Anolis sagrei: one gene and its partner. The protein of the gene in region 2 interacts with the protein of the main gene of each other region in a biochemical or structural test. Links are inferred from orthologs where the notes say so. Each region holds a gene or a part of one and is shown on either strand. Other genes may lie near its edges.

Region 1 (8,231 bases), on a different chromosome or scaffold from region 2:
CTCAGAAACCTTATGTGCCTGATCTGTATGTGTACCCCCTAACCTGTGGGAGCCAGGCCTCCAGAATTGGGTATCCCTGCAATCACAGCCCCTCATATATGAATACAGTGTTCCCTCACTTATTGTGGGTGTTACATTCCAAGACCACCCGCAAAAAATGAAAATCCGTGAACTAGGGATGCTATATATGCTCTTGGCCCCGCCTCTGTCTCAAACGTGCTTGGTGGGGATGAGGGACAGGGCCTTATTGGTGGTGGCCCCCCGCCTGTGGAATTCACTCCTCGGGGAAATTAGGTTATCTCCTTTAGAAAGAAGTTAAAAATGTGGATAGGGGACCAGGCCTTCGGGTAACTATGCGGACAATAGCAACGATGACAATGGCTATGGTAATGGACTATAGAGTCTCCAACCACAAACTTCGGCTAGATAACGGCCACCAGACTGGTATTTGTTAGTAGTTTTTGGGCAATGGCAACCATTCATAAACGGGGAGGCAAAAACACGTGGAACAGCGAGTCTGCAAAAAGCGAATTGCCAAGTAGTGAGGGAACATTGTATGTATAATCTTGTCTATGCTTCTGTATAACTGTACAAAATTATTGGAGAAGTCACCAGCTGAAGTTTTGCGATCACCTTTGCCTGCACTTCCTTGTCCTGGGAAGATTTGTCAACATCTTGCCAGGCTACCTCAAAGGAACACATACTACCTAAAGCAGTGTTTCTTAACCTTCCCAATACCGTGACCCCTTAATACAGTTCCTCATGTTGTCATGACCCCCAACCATAACATTTTCATTGCTACTTCATAACTCTAATTTTGCTACTGTTATGAATTATAATGTAAATATTCGATATGCAGGATGTATTTGCATCCTCTGGATCAAATTTGGCACAAATATTTGATATACCCACATTTGAATACTGGTGGGGTTGGGGAGGATTGATTTTGTCATTTGGGAGTTGTAGTTGCTGGGATTGAAAGTTCACCTACAATTAAAGAGCATTCTGAACTCCACCAATGTTGGAATTGAACCAAATTTGGCACACAGAACTCCCATGACCAACATAAAGTATTGGAAGGTTTTGGAGTTGTAGTTCACCTACATCCAGAAAGCAGTGGGGACTCAAACAATGATGGATCTGGATCAAACTTGACACAAATACTCAATATGCTCAAATGTGGACATTGGTAGAGTTTGGAGGAAATAGACCTTGACATTTGGAAGTGCTAGTTGCTGGGATTTATAGTTCAACTACAATCAAAGAGCATTCCGAACCCCACCAACGATAGAATTGGGCCAAACTTCGCACACAGAACCCCCATGAGCAACAGAAAATACTGTGTTTTCTGATGGTCATTGGCGACCTATCTGGTACCCCCTAGCAACCCACCCAAGGGTCCCAACCCCCAGGTTGAGAAACGCTGATATAGAGCAATTGGTGGGGAAAGCTTCACCTGTTGGTTTCCTACCCTTTTGTTCTGGTGTAAAAGTGTCAGAATGGTACTAGAAAACAAAGCATTAATTTTTGAGGCAAGAACTTCTGGCCATGAAACTTTTCCAGTTCTATCCCAGTTGACAAAATTAATTGATTCCCATTTGGAACATGCTATTCTACCAACTTTCGTCCTCAGGGCCGTTCGGACTCATTAACCAAATAAGCAATATACTAAGCGGAGTTAGCAATATGCTAATTCCCATGATAGACTGATGAATGGCACGCCAGGGGAGTTGCTATGATTATTTTTGTTGCAATTACCACCGAGAAAATATCAGGTAAATGCATGCAATTGAGGGCAGGTTACAACTTGCTTCTCGAGTTAGGAAAGTATATAGATTGGAGAGACATTATCAAATCTTTGATTTACGGTAGCTCACTAGAGAAATCTGTGGATCAGATGGTTCGATGCGCTGGGGACTTCTGATTCAAATCCCATCAGCTTGAGATGATAACATACTTTCAGTACGTCCCATGTTAAATAATAATAAATGATAATGATGCTCCCTTTGGTGATGTTTGTGGAATTGAATCCAACCCAAGGTTTTTGAACTAACTTGCCTCTCATGGCTCTTCCGCATCGTGGTGCTATAGCACTATGATTCCACACTATGTGCCAATGGCTATGGGATGCTGGGATTTGTAGTTTGTAGCATACTATCAGGCTTGTCAGAAAAGGATAATAATACATCAGAAGTGGAGGAACTCCATAAAGGAAGCCAAGTCTTCCCTGATTCTGCAGGGCAACTTGGGGTATATCTACACCAGGCACGGGCAAACTTGAGCCCTCCAGGTGTTTTGGACTCCAACTCCCACAATTCCTAATAGCCTACCGGCTGTTAGGAATTGTGGGAGTTGGAGTCCAAAACACCTGTAGGGCCCAAGTTTGCCCATACCTGATCTACACTCTAGAATGAATGCAGTTTGAAGCCACATTACCTGCTACGACTCAGTGCTATGGAATTGTGGGATTTGTAGTTTGGTGAGGCACCAACACTCTTGGTCGGAGGACGCCAGAGAGCCTGTAAAACTACATCTCCCATGATCCCATGGCAATGAAAGTAGTATCAAACTGTTTTAATTCTATAGTGTAAATACAACTTTGAAGGTTTCCTAATCAAAGTAGACTCGTTGGTAGTCAACACAGCAAGCATGCACTATATCTCTCTAGTTGATCATTCGAAGGACCCTTCCAGACAGGCCCTATATCCCAGGATCTGATCCCAGGTTTTTGTTTATCCCAGATTATCTGGTAGTATGAACTCATATATTCCAGTCCAAAGCAGAAAACCTGGGATCCGGGTTTATCTCCCACCTTAATCTGCCAATTCCAGGATTCCATAGGAATTAAAGTGTGACTATACTGCTATAATTGTGTAGTGTGGAAAAAGGCCAAATGGAAAGAGGACCAGAATCACAAAGAAGTTTCCAGAGTCAAATAAGGCTATTTTTTTTCAGTTTCCAGTATAGAGGGGTTTAGGTTTCTGTGAGTTTTCTGCTCTATGGCCGTGTTCTAGAAGCATTCTCTCCTGACATTTTGCCCACATCTATGGCAGGCATCCTCAGGGGTCATGAGATCTGTTGGAAACTAAGTAAGTGAGGTTTATATATCTATTGAATGTCCGGAGTGGAAGAACTCTTGTCTGTTTGAGGCAAGTGTCAATGCTGCAATTGAGCACCTTGATTAGCATTGAATAGCCTTGCAGCTTCAAAGCTTCTCTGCTTCCTGCCTAGGGGAATCCTTTGTTGGGAGATGATTAGCTGGTCTTGGTTGTTTCTTGTCAGGAATTCCCGTTTTTGAGTGTTCTTTCTTTAATGTTGCAATTCAGCACCTTAATTAGCATTTAATGGCCTTGCAGCTGCAAAGCTTAGCTGGTTGCTGCCTGGGGGACTCCTTTGTTGGGAGGTGATTAGCTGGCCCTGATTGTTTCTTGTCCGGAATTCCCATTTTTGAGTGTTCTTTCTTTAATGCTGCAGTCGAGCATCATGATTAACATTTAATGGCCTCGCAGCTGCAAAGCTTAGCTGGTTGCTGCCTGTTGGGAAGTGATTAGCTGATCCTGATTGTTTCTTGTCCGGAATTCCCGTTTTTGAATGTTCTTTTTTTAATGCTGCAATTGAACACCTTCATTAGTATTTAATGGCCCTGCAGCTTCAAGGCTTGGCTGCTTCCTGCCTGGGGGAATCCTTTGTTGGGAGGTGATTAGCTGGTTCTGATTGATTATTGCCTGGCATGCCCGTTTTTGAGCGCTGTTCTTATTTTAATGCTGCAATAGAGCACCTTGATTAGCATTTATTATTATTATTATTATTATTATTATTATTATTGTATTGTCAAAGGCTTTCATGGCCGGAATCACTCAGTTCTTGTGGGGTTTTTCGGGCTATAGGGCCATGTTCTAGAGGCATTTCTCCTGACGTTTCGCCTGCATCTATGGCAAGCATCCTCAGAGGTAGTGAGGTCTGTTGGAAATAGGAAAATGGATTTATATATCTGTGGAATGACTGGGGTGGGGCAGAGAGCTCTCTGCTGAAGCTAGGTGTGAATGTTTCAGCTGACCACCTTCATTAGCATTTGAAGGCCTGCCTGAGCCTGGGAAAATGTTCTGTAGAGAGGTGTTAAGATGTGCCTGGTTGTTTCACAAGAACTGGATTATTATTATTATTTAATGACCTTGCAGCTGCAAAGCCTAGCTGGTTGCTTCCTGGGGAATCCTTTGTTGGGAGGTGTTAGCTGGCCCTGATTGTTTCTTGTCTGGAATTCCCTTGTTTTTTTGAGTGTTGCTCTTTATTTACTGTACTGATTTTAGAGTTTTTCAATACCAGTAGCCAGGGGGGTGTCGTCACAGAAAACACAATTGGAACACATTACACAGACATTAAGATCATGTGTTTGAATAGTTCTAAGGAACCTCTGAACCGTTTGTGGCCAAGGTAGACCGGCCTCTCGCTAGCGATTGGTTCAGGACCCTTTAGGGGGCGGTCCTTTGGCTCTCCTCCTCCAATGAGCGCAAAGAAGAAGAGGAATGGAACGCCAGCCGCAAAATCAGATAGCGCATGCGCAGTTTTATAGTCGAAGGAGGGGGAAAAAGAATGACGTAGCAAATGTGAAGCCGTGGTGTGGCACTTGAAGGGAGGAAATGGAACTGATTTCCGTTTCCGGCTGAGGTCAGCGCTTCCGGGATTGGGCGCAATGGAGTCGGTGGTGAGTGAAGTGGTGGCGCTGGAGGATCTACAGGTGAGCAGGAGATATTTTCCCTCCCATAATAATCGTGAAGCTGTGCTGGTGAAATGGAGCCTCCAGTTAAAGGGCCAGTGTGCCTCGGTTCCCAGGCGAGAGGGTGGTAAACAAACTACAGGGTGTCACCCCGCCCCCTTTAAAGGGATACGGCCCTTTGTGATCCTGGATATTCCCCCCCCCCCCCCAAGATATGTATTCACCAAAGCAGTTTTATTTATTTGTCGTGTCAGAGCAACCAGTCCATTATATTACATTTCTAACAGAACAGAGCAAACAAACAGAAAAATACACAACTTGTGAGTTTGGTAGCTGGTTAAATGTCCTTTGACCAGTATCTGGCCACTTGGAGTGCTTCCGGTGTTGCTGCAAGAAGGTCCTCCATTGTGCATGGGACAGGGCTCAGGTTGCATTGCAGCGGGTGGTCAGTGGTTTGCTCTTCTCCACACTCGCATGTCGAGGATTCTACTTTGTAGCCCCATTTCTGAAGGTTGGCTCTGCATCTCGTGCCAGAGCGCAGTCTGTTCAATGCCTTCCAAGTCGCCCAGTCTTCTGTGTGCCCAGGAGGGAGTCTCTCATTTGGTATCAGCCATTGGTTGAGGTGCTGGGTTTGAGCCTGCCACTTTTGGACTCTTGCTTGCTGAGGTGTTCCAGCGAGTGTCTCTGTAGATCTTAGAAAACTATGTCTAGATTTAAGTTGTTGGCGTGCTGGCTGATACCCAAACAGGGGATGAGCTGGAGATGTCTCTGCCTTGGTCCTTTCACTATTGGCTGCTACTTCCCGGCGGATGTCAGGTGGTGCAATACCGGCTAAGCAGTGTAATTTCTCCAGTGGTGTAGGGCGCAGATACCCCTTGATAATGCGGCATGTCTCATTAAGAGCCACATCCACTGTTTTAGTGTGGTGAGATGTGTTCCACACTGGGCATGCGTACTCAGCAGCAGAGTAGCATAGCGCAAGGGCAGATGTCTTCACTGTATCTGGTTGTGATCCCCAGGTTGTGCCAGTCAGCTTTCGTATGATATTGTTTCTAGCACCCACTTTTTGCTTGATGTTCAGGCAGTGCTTCTTGTAGGTAAGAGCACGGTCCAGAGTGACTCCCAGGTATTTGGGTGCGCTGCAATGCTCCAGTGGGATTCCTTCCCACTGCACAGCAGTTAAGAATACTCTATATCAGTGGTTCTCAACCTGTGGGTCCCTAGGTGTTTTGGCCTACAACTCCCACAAATTCTAGCCAGTTTACCAGCTCTTAGGATTTCTGGGAGTTGTAGGCTAAAACATCTGGGGACCCACATTGCTCTATATCTACATCTACATTATTTATTTATTTATTTATTTACTTCGCTTATATACTGCAGTTCTCAGCCCAGGGGCGACTCACTGCAGTGTACAATATAGCAAAAAACAAGGTGCAAAATATAAGACACAGTATAAAATAATCCACAATTCAACATTATCAGAAAACATCATCAAAAACATCATCATTACTACAAAAACCATTCCGTGTCGTCTCATCGCCAAAACCACAATCCAGTATCAATTTCCGTTGTTCATTCCTATGGTCAATTACCAATTGTTGTACTTCTTGTTCAAACGCCTTCTTAAACAGCCAGGTCTTTAATTTCCTGCGGAATATCAGCAGGGAGGGAGCTAGTCTGATGTCCACGAGGAGGGTGTTCCACAGCCGAGGAGCCACCACCGAGAAGGCCCTATCTCTCGTCCCCGCCAGCCGTGCCTGTGAAGCAGGTGGGATCAAGAGCAGAGCCTCCCCGGAAGATCTCAAAGTCCTCGTGGGCTCATAGGTCGAGAGGCGGTCAGTTAGGTATCTTGGGCCGGAACCGTTTAGGGCTTTATAGGCTAATGCCAGCACCTTGAATTGAGCCCAGTAGCAGATCGGCAGCCAGTGGAGCTGGTACAGCAGTGGGGTTGATATACATGCATTTTTTCAAAGAGGAAGGTATACACTATTAACAGGTTATAATTCTGGGTTTGTATATGTATATCTATATATGTATATATGTGGGTGTATGTATATATAATGTGTGTGTATATTTATATTTATACACACACATTTTATATATACATTTATACACACAAACACACAAGCCGTCCCCTGCCACGCGTTGCTGTGGCCCACTTGGGGGTTCTGTGTGGGAGGTTTGGCCCAATTCATTGGTGGGGTTCAGATTGCTCTGTGATTGTAGGTGAACTATGAATCCCAGCAACTACAACTCCCAAATGTCAAGATTCTATTTCCCCCAAACTCCACCAGTGTTCACGTTTGGGCATGTTGAGTATTCGTGTAGAGTTTGGTCCAGAGCCATCATTGTTTGAGTCCACAGTGATCTCTGGATGTAGGTGAACTACAACTCCAAAAACTGGAAGGGTTTGCCCACCAAACCCTTCCAGTATTTTCTGTTGGTCATGGGAGAACTGTGTGCCAAGTTTGGTTCAATTCCATCGTTGGTGGGGTTCAGAATGTTCTTTGATTGTAGGTGAACTATAAATCCCAGCAACTACAACTCCCAAATGACAAAATCAATTTTTTTTAAGTGAAGGACATATATTGGTTTGTTAAGTGTCTTGTGTCCAAATTTGGTGTCAATTCCCCCAGTGGTTTTTGAGTTCTGTTAATCCCACAAATGAGCATTTATATATACACACACATACACACACACACACACACATACATATATACATACATACACACACACATACTTATATTTATTTATTTATTTATTTGCTGCATTTGTTGACCGCCGTTCTCAGCCCTAGGGCGACTCACTGCGGTGTACAACATATAAAAGACAATTTACAATAAAGCAATAACGAAAAATCAACATATCACTAATACACAATAATATAATTACACTAAATAATCCGCTCCGTCTCATCGTCGAATCGTCACCAATCTCGTAATCCATATTCCGTTCCAGTTGTCATTACCAATTAATGTAGCACTCAGTTAAATGCCTTCTCAAATAGCCATGTCTTTAGGCTCTTTCGGAAAGACATAAGGGAGGGCGCCTGTCTGATGTCAACAGGGAGGGTGTTCCACAGCCGGGGGGCCATCACCGAGAAGGCCCTCTCTCTCGTCCCCGCCAGACGTGCCTGTGAAGCAGGCGGGATCGAGAGAAGGGCCTCCCCAGACGATCTCAAGGCCCTCGTGGGCTCATAGGCCGAGATGCGGTCCGAAAGATATTTTGGGCCGGAACCGTTTAGGGCTTTGTAGGATAACACCAGCACCTTAAATTGGGCCCGGTAGCAGATCGGCAGCCAATGGAGCTGGAACAACAAGGGCGTTGTATGCTCCCTGCGTCCCGCTCCTGTTAGTAACATGGCTGCCGCGCGCTGGACTAGCTGAAGCTTCCGGGCCGTCTTCAAGGGCAGCCCCACGTAGAGAGCGTTGCAGTAGTCAAGGCGGGATGTGACCAGAGCGTGTACCACCGTGGCCAAGTCAGACTTCCCGACATATCCAGAATTATAACCTGTTAA
Region 2 (8,484 bases):
ATTGAAATACTAATAAGTTTATATTTGTTAAAATTGTTCTTCATTTTAATGATTGTATTGTTTTTAAGTGCTTTTTGCACTACAAATAAGATATGTGCAGTATGCATAGGAATTCATTTTTTTTCAAATTATATTCCGGCTCTCCAACAGTTTGAGGGACTGTGACCTGGCCCTCTGTTTAAAAAGTTTGAGGACCCCTGGTCTAAAGTTTAGGGCAAGGCCAAGTAAATAACCTTGGAGGGCCGTATCCGGCCTGCAGGCCTTAGTTTGGGGACTTCTGATGTTATGTATGGACCAACTGGACAGCATCACAATCTTTGAATTCCCCAGTTTGTTTATCATGACAATGGCCGTTACATGCTCCAAGTGAGGACATGGTTTCACATACATTTCTAAGGACCACTGTACACTGAAAGCACATCTACACTGTAGAATTAATGCAGTTTGCCACTGCTTTACCTGCCTTGGCTCAATGCTATGGAATCATAGGTGTTGTAGTTTTACAAGAACTTTAGTCTTCTATCTCAAAGACTGCTGGTGCCAAACAAGCTACACCTCCCAGAATCCCATTAATATTCAGTCACGACAGCTAAAAAGGTTTCAAACTGCATTAATTTTGCAGTGTAGATGAACCTTCAGACTCCACATGCAACAGTGTTCTAAAGATCTATGTATTATCTTTGCATTTATGACACTCATATTGTTTCCTTTCAGCTTTAAGGACATCAGAATTGTCTTTCTAGCTCAGAGCAAGATCACTCCCATTTCCAAGAACAGCTATCTCAATGTCCCCAAGGAACCTCCTAACCAGCCTTTTTTCTGCCAGAACCGCCTTGGTGGTTTTTAAAAGTCTAAATCTAATACATAAGTCTGTTGCACTGAATACTAATAATGTAGACTGTTGCTGCAATCTTAAAGAGAGTATGTACTGTGTGGCATTGCAAAAGCTTCAGTAGCAATAGGACAGTCTGTGCCTCCAAGATGTCATCCAGGGCTGCTTTTTATCTTTCAGGAACAAATTGTTTAATTAGGACAGGATCTGAAAATCCTATCTCCCCACCCCACTTAAATCCTCCAATGTGGAACGCATCCCCTTCAACTGGGCAGCATGCCATTAAGCAGGAGACCCATAGGGATTGCAACGTGCTCTGAACACTAATAATTCTCCACTTAACCAACACTGGATAATACTTGCAATAAGCAGTAATAGGCTGAATATTCCTTATCCAGAAACCCCAAATCCTCCAAAGCACAAAACTGTCCACTTGGGGGGCTGGCATAGGGCACATTTATACTGTAAATGCAATTTGAAAACTGCAATGGCACAATGGTATGGTATTCTTGGGTTTGTAATAATCTTTGGCAGAGAAGGCTAAAGACCTTGTAAAACTACATGATCCCATGACACTAAGCTAGGGAAGTGGTGTCAAACTGCATTAATTTCACAGTGAATTTCACTCAAAGTGGCCCCTTTACTTTCTGATAGTTTAATGCATGCAAGCTTTGCTCCACGCACAAAATTATTTAAAATATCCCATATAAAATTATCCTCAGGTTATGTGGTTAAGGTGTATTGGGGGGAAAATCCAATTTAGCTGCTCTGAGTCCTTCAATGAGAGAGAGAGGGTAAATAAATAAAATACATATTTGGACTTGGGTCACAAGGGGGTCCTAAATGTCATGTATCCTGTATATATGCTATAGTATTGGACACCACTGATGAGATTTGGTTCTCAGCTGGTGAGTCCCCAGATGTTTTGGCCTTCAAATCCCAGAAATCCTAACATCTGGTAAACTTGTTGGGATTTCTGAGAGTTGTAGGCCAAAACACCTGGGGACCCACATATTGAGAACCACTGATGTAAATGTATTACCTAAACATACTGTGTATAATGCCATGATATGGGAAATTACTGTATTGGAAATGGAATTGGAAATATGATACTATGGAATTGGAAATTGCTGTATTTTAAAGTAATATTGGATATATAATAATATGGTACTGGAAATCATGGTATTGGAAATGGTATTGAAAATATGATACTACAGTATTGGAAATTGTTGCACTGGAAAATAATATTGGAAATATGATGCTATGGTACTGGAAATCATTGTATTGGAAATGGTATTGGAAATATGATACTACGGTATTGGAAATTGCTGCACTGGAAAACAATATTGGAAATATGATGCTATGATACTGGAAATCATTGTATTGGAAATGGTATTGGAAACTGTTGCACTAGAAAATAATATTGGGAACATGATGCTATGGTACTAGAAATCATTGTATTGGAAATGGTATTGGAAATATGATACTACAGTATTGGAAATTGTTGCACTGGAAAACAATATTGGAAATATGATGCTAGGGTACTGGAACTCGTTGTATTGGAAATGGTATTGGAAATAAGATACTACGGTATTGGAAATTGCTGCACTGGAAAACAATATTGGAAATATGATGCTATGGTACTGGAAATGGTTATGTTGGAAAATAATATTGGAAATATGATGCTTTGGTATTGGAAATGGTTATGTTGGAAAATAATACTGGAAATATGATGCTATGGTACTGGAAATCATTGTATTGGAAATTGTATTGGAAATATGATTCTACAATATTGGAAATTGTTGCACTGGAAAATAATATTGGGAATATGCTATGGTATTGGAAATGGTTATGCTGGAAAATAATACTGGAAATATGATGCTGGGGTACTGGAAATCATATTGGAAAATAATATTGGAAATATGATGCTATGGTACTGGAAATTGTTGTGTTGTAAAATAATATTGGAAATATGGTGCTATGGTATTGAAAATATGGAAATTGGAAATGAAAAAACAAAACAGTATTCCTATGGAAAGATTTAATCAAGTAATTATTAAGTGACAAGATATTGCAGGCCTTGCAAGACTTTCGCCTTAGTCTGGTGAAAAGCCTGGTCCCAAGCATTTCAGATTAAGGGAGAAGTACTTTTGTAGGCCAACACCCCAACCAAATAATAAAACCCCAAATGCAAATATTGATAAGAGTAATTAAAATAAAAGCCACCCTTGAGCCTCTCACTTGAGCACTCCAACAGCACCCCTAGACCTTCTGCCCAGGTGGAGGTCATCCTGGCTTAAGCCCCGCCCACTGTGGTGGCCCAGGCCCCGCCCACACGCGCCCAGGCCCCGCCCCCGAGCGGCCCGCCTCACCTGCGTGCCCACCACCACAATCTGCGGCAGCTGGATGATGTCGGCGCCCACCGTGTTGAAGACGTCCTGCAGCTTATTGATGACGGGAATCAGCGCCTCCATGGCGGCGAGCGGGCGAAGGAGGCGAAGGGCAATGAATGGAGGAAGCGGCGGCGGCAGGGAAGGGCACGAGCTCTGGCACCTTCCCCCGCCGCCGACCACTGGCGCCGGCCCCGCTCACTCCCGGCAGGCCCTACGCATGCGCGCCACCGCAGGAGGCCAAGCCTTCGCAAAGGCTGCCGGGAGTTGTAGTGCAGCTGCAATTGGGACCGTTGTTTCCCCCTAGAGGGCGGCGGGAGAAGCAGGAAACGGAGGCAGGAGGCCTCAAACGCTAGGATTCTGCAGGAGGATCTAAAGTGGGTACTAGGATAGACAGATACTCCAGTGATGAGGTACTTAGGCTGCATTATAGAGCCTTCTCCATTGTAGAAGGGATGCACTTTGACTCCAGGCTGTGAAATCATGGGAGTTTTCCAAGGCCAAAGAGTGCAATTAGAATAGAACAGGCATGGGCAAGCTTGGGCCCTCCAGGTGTTTTGGACTTCAAATCCTACAATTCCTAACAGCCTACCTGGAGGGCCCAAGCTTGCTATAAAGCAGTGGTTCTCAACCTTCCTAATGCCACGACCCCTTAATGTTATGGTGACCCCCAACCATAAAATTAGTTTCATTGCTACTTCACAACTGTCATTTTGCTGCTGTTCTGAATAGCAATGTAAATATCTATGTGGAGGCTGTGACAGACTTTGTATTTCTAGGTGCAAAGATTACTGCAGATGCAGACTGTGACCAGGAAATCAGAAGACGCTTACTTCTTGGGAGGAGAGCAATGTCCAATCTCGATAAAATAGTAAAGAGCAGAGACATCACACTGGCAACAAAGATCCGCCTAGTCAAAGCCATGGTATTCCCTGTAGTCACCTACGGATGTGAGAGCTGGACCTTAGGTAAGGCTGAGCAAAGGAAGATCGATGCTTTTGAACTGTGGTGTTGGAGGAAAGTGCTGAGAGTGACTTGGACCGCGAGAAGATCCAACCAGTCCATCCTCCAAGAAATAAAGCCCAACTGCTCATTGGAGGGAAGGATACTAGAGACAAAGTTGAAGTCCTTTGGCCACATCATGAGGAGACAGCAAACCCTGGAGAAGACAATTATGCTGGGGAAAGTGGAAGGTAAAAGGAAGAGGGGCCGACCAAGGACAAGATGGATGGATGGCATCCTTGAAGTGACTGGACTGACCTTGAAGGAGCTGGGGGTGGTGACGGCCGACAGGGAGCTCTGGCGTGGGCTGGTCCATGAGGTCACGAGTCGGAGACGACTGAACGAATGAACAACAACAACATGAATAGTAATGTAAATATCTGATATTCAAGATGTATTTTCATACACTGGACCAAATTTGGCACAAAGACCCAATACACCCAAATTTAAATACTGGTGGGATTGGGGAAGAGTATTAGTTTTGTCCTGTGGGAGTTGTAGTTGCTGGGATTTATAGTTCACCTACAATCAAAGAGCATTCTGAACTCCACCGCCTAGGCAAAGCCATGGTATTCCCTGTAGTAACCTACGGATGTGAGAGCTGGACCTTAGGGAATGGAGTTGAATCAAACTTGGCACACAAAATTCCCATGACCAGGAGAAAATACTGGGAAGGTTTGGTAGGCAGTGACCTTGAGTTTTGGGAGTTGTAGTTCACCTACATCCAGAGAGCACTGTGGACTCAAACAATGATGGATCTAGACCAAACTTGGCACGAATTCTCAATATTCCCAAATGTAAACACTAGTGGGGTTTGGGGAAAATAGACCTTGACATTTGGGAGTTGTAGTTGCTGGTATTTATAGTTCACCTACAATCAAAGAGCATTCTGAACCCTGCCAATGATTGAATTGGGCCAAACTTCCCACACAGAACCTCCATGACCAACAAAAAATACTGTGCTTTCTTGTGGTCTCTGGTGAACCCTCTGGCACCCCCTCGTGACCCCTCCAGGGGTCCCGACCCCCAGGTTGAGAAACACTGTTATAAAGGAACGTGATCCTGATACGGAGTTATTATAAGTATGCTATTCTAAATTACACCGCTGGTCACCACTCGTAACGAAATTACATATAGGTGAAGGGACCTTTTACGCTGTCAGGGGGGAAAATATATCACATATCCCACCTGCTGACACCAGTATAAAGGAATATAGGTTCTTTCACAGAGTGTTTGTATATATATATGAGGTAACGTGTGTGCTGTCGCACACTGGGCCTGTGCATATGACTGTAGACAGGACATAAATTCCCAACGGGACGCCGGGGCTGCCTCAGATTAAAGGCCTTTGGATTCCCCCCAAACAGAGTTCTGTAGAGGCTTAAAGTAAGTCCAACAAAGTTCTTTATTGATGAAAACAAACAGGTTCTTTAAAGCTTTCTTAACAGTCTATTGGCTCTTGCAATCTTGTTCACTGGGAACAGGCACTATCTTCATAACTGTATACTAACTAATGGGGAAATCCTTAACTTCTAATCTGGGCAGTCTGTACTTGCCTCTGTTGGCATGGAGCCCCTGCACCTGGTACCAACTGCGTCTGGCTTCTGCAAGCGGCCCTTATCAAGCAGAGCTTTGTAAACTTCCTTGGGAAAAAAGGAGTTCAGGTTTCAGTGATGGCCGGCTGAAGTCCCTCAGCAAAGGAGCTGTAAGGCTGCAAAATCCTCAGCCAAGCTGTGGGCTGTGTCTCCCCGGCCAAGCCGTGGGCTGTATAACCCCGGCCAAGCTGTAGGCTGTATATCTCCCTGGCCAAGCCGTAGAAGACGAAGCTTTCTACAGGAGCTCTTGGTTTCATGTCCTGTATGGAAAGCTGCTCTGTGTGGACTGAACTCAAAATGGCTTCTATTCCCACTAAAACTCAAAAAGGGGCGGGATCAGGGAACCTATCGATAATTGACAGGTGGCTTGCCCTATGATTGCAACCTATAACAGGAAGCCACCTTGCTACAAAATCCCAAGCCTGGGATTGCAAACAAACATTTAATGCAAAGCAAACAGAATTGGAGCTCCTGGTACAGCTGTACCAGCACAGTGTGTACTCTGGTAGATTTGCTGCCACCACCTAAAATACTTCAGGATATTGAAGAATGATTCTCTGAGGTTAACTTCTTCCTTGCCACACACTTCTCCCTTAGCTCCCTGAGATGACTGTGATGTTAAGATGTTAAAACAACTAGGATTATTCTCACAGGAATGAATTACAACCGAGGCTTCTTTAAAAGTTGAAATAGATAAAAGATTTATTGATAAGATCAAACAAACAACTGTCTTCTTTGATGAGGCACAAAAGCTTAAATGGTTACTACAGTACAGTATTCTTGATGGTTACTTTAAACAGGTTACTTGACTTAGTCACTCGTAAAACTCCTCACTCTACAATAATACAGTAGCAGTGAGTTCCCTAGACTAACCTACTCAGGCTGTCTTCAGAGCAATTAGCCCACTCTAAGCAGAGTTCTCTATGTGGCTAATCTACTCTACCCAGAGAGCAAAGCACTTGTGTAAGCCCACACAAGCACCCAGGTGACTACTTGACCGTCCTGGCCAATAATGCAGCCTTGCCTGTCACAAACGCTCTGTCAGAAAAATCCTAAGCCTAAAAATACCTCTCCTCTCTCTTCTGTTCCCAAATTCAATCTCTCTTCTTCAATTCCTAAAACCCTTCTCTCTGTGAAGCTGACACTTTTCCCTCTCAGGACTTAACTCCTCCCATCTGTCCTAACCAATCCTAAGAAATCTCCAGCTCCTCCCCTCTTCTCACTTTACCCTCTCAAGATGTCTGCTTCCTTTGCGTACACTCCCAAAACGGAGGCCTACCTCACTGATATCCCTGGCTTCTCCTTCAGCCTACTAGGTAAGAATCATTACACTTGCTCATGCCTATTATAGAGTTGGAAGCAACGACCTGGGTCATCTAGTCCAACCCCCTGCCATACAGGAAAAGCACAATCAAAGCACCCCTGGCAGATGGCCATCCAGCCTCTGTTTAAAGGTTTATAATAATATAATTATAAACTTTATTTATACCCCGCCATCATCTCCCCAAAGGGGACTTGGGGCGGCTTACATGAGGCCAAGCCCGGTAGTACATTACTTATTTACCTTATTTATATATTATTTACTTTATTTATATACCGCTTTTTTCAGCCCTCGGGCAACATTACAGCAAAATAAATACAGAGCGACAAAAATAACATCACAATAAAATAAGTAAAACCTAAAAGTACAATAAAGCAGTTCAAAGTAACAAAATGAAAAATCAAATGCAATGGGTGAGCCAAATGTATGACGTAAAATGATAAACCTCTGGATGAGATAAAAATAAAAAAGGAATATTTGTAAGGGAGGAGCTTGTAGGGGACAGAATAGTGGAGATAGGCCTTCAGAAAGGTGGAAGGAAGTGCAATATGAGGAGTTTTCAAGGAAGGAGCTTCTGCCACACTCCCGAGGCAGAGAGTTCCACTGCTGAACAGCTCTTCTTACAGTCAGGAAGTTCTTCCTTTTTATCAATATATTTTGTATCAAAAGCATTGCATAAATTAGTATAAAACTGATACAAATAGAAGGAGCACAAGTGGCTAAATATCTTTTGACCAAAAACTGGCAACAGCAACCGCATTGTCTGTAGCCTCCAATAATTCTTCCTCTGTACATGAAGCAGAGTGTAGTGGACAAGCATACTGGTGCGGAGTTGTCTGTTCTGCTCCGCAGTCACACAAGGTGGAGGATTCTTCTAGGTAGTGCCATTTTGCCAGGTTGTCTTTTGATCTGCCCACTATGCTTCTGAGTCTGTGTTAGTGCATAGGCATTTATGACGGTTGCCTTTTGGTTTTTGGCAAGGTTAAATCGGATGGTTGATAGTTGTTCGTTAATGCCAATGGGTGCTTTGGTCAGATGCTTCACCCCAACCTTATTTTCCATCTTCATCGCTATGATACTTCATCTTGTTGACGGGAAGCTTCCCACTGGAGTGGAAATCATTATCGAACAGATGGCAAGCTATTTAACCTCAGCAGTCTGAAAGCCAAAACCAAGGTTACAACATCTGTTATAGAACTTGAATATGCTGATGACAACGTCGTCTGTGTGCATTCAGAAGAAAACCCACAAGCCACTCTAAACACCTTCGCAGAAACTTACGAGAAGCTCGGCCTGTCATTAAACATCAAGAAAACAAAAGTGCTCTTCCAGCAGTCACCAGCC

Evidence for each region.
Region 1: the proteins of DNM1L (region 2) and FIS1 form a complex in vitro, tested with the Homo sapiens proteins (2 studies listed by BioGRID). The link is inferred for Anolis sagrei from reciprocal best matches to the Homo sapiens genes DNM1L and FIS1.

Annotation. Positions count from the first base shown.
Region 1 is NC_090026.1:11,730,286-11,738,516, forward strand, and holds the start of FIS1 (mitochondrial fission 1 protein), read left to right. Parts: upstream 1-4,625; 5' UTR 4,626-4,690; coding exon 4,691-4,735; intron 4,736-8,231. UniProt on the Homo sapiens protein: Involved in the fragmentation of the mitochondrial network and its perinuclear clustering. Plays a minor role in the recruitment and association of the fission mediator dynamin-related protein 1 (DNM1L) to the mitochondrial surface and mitochondrial fission.
Region 2 is NC_090025.1:176,169,547-176,178,030, forward strand, and holds the start of DNM1L (dynamin-1-like protein), read right to left. Parts: upstream 3,446-8,484; 5' UTR 3,307-3,445; coding exon 3,205-3,306; intron 1-3,204. UniProt on the Homo sapiens protein: Functions in mitochondrial and peroxisomal division.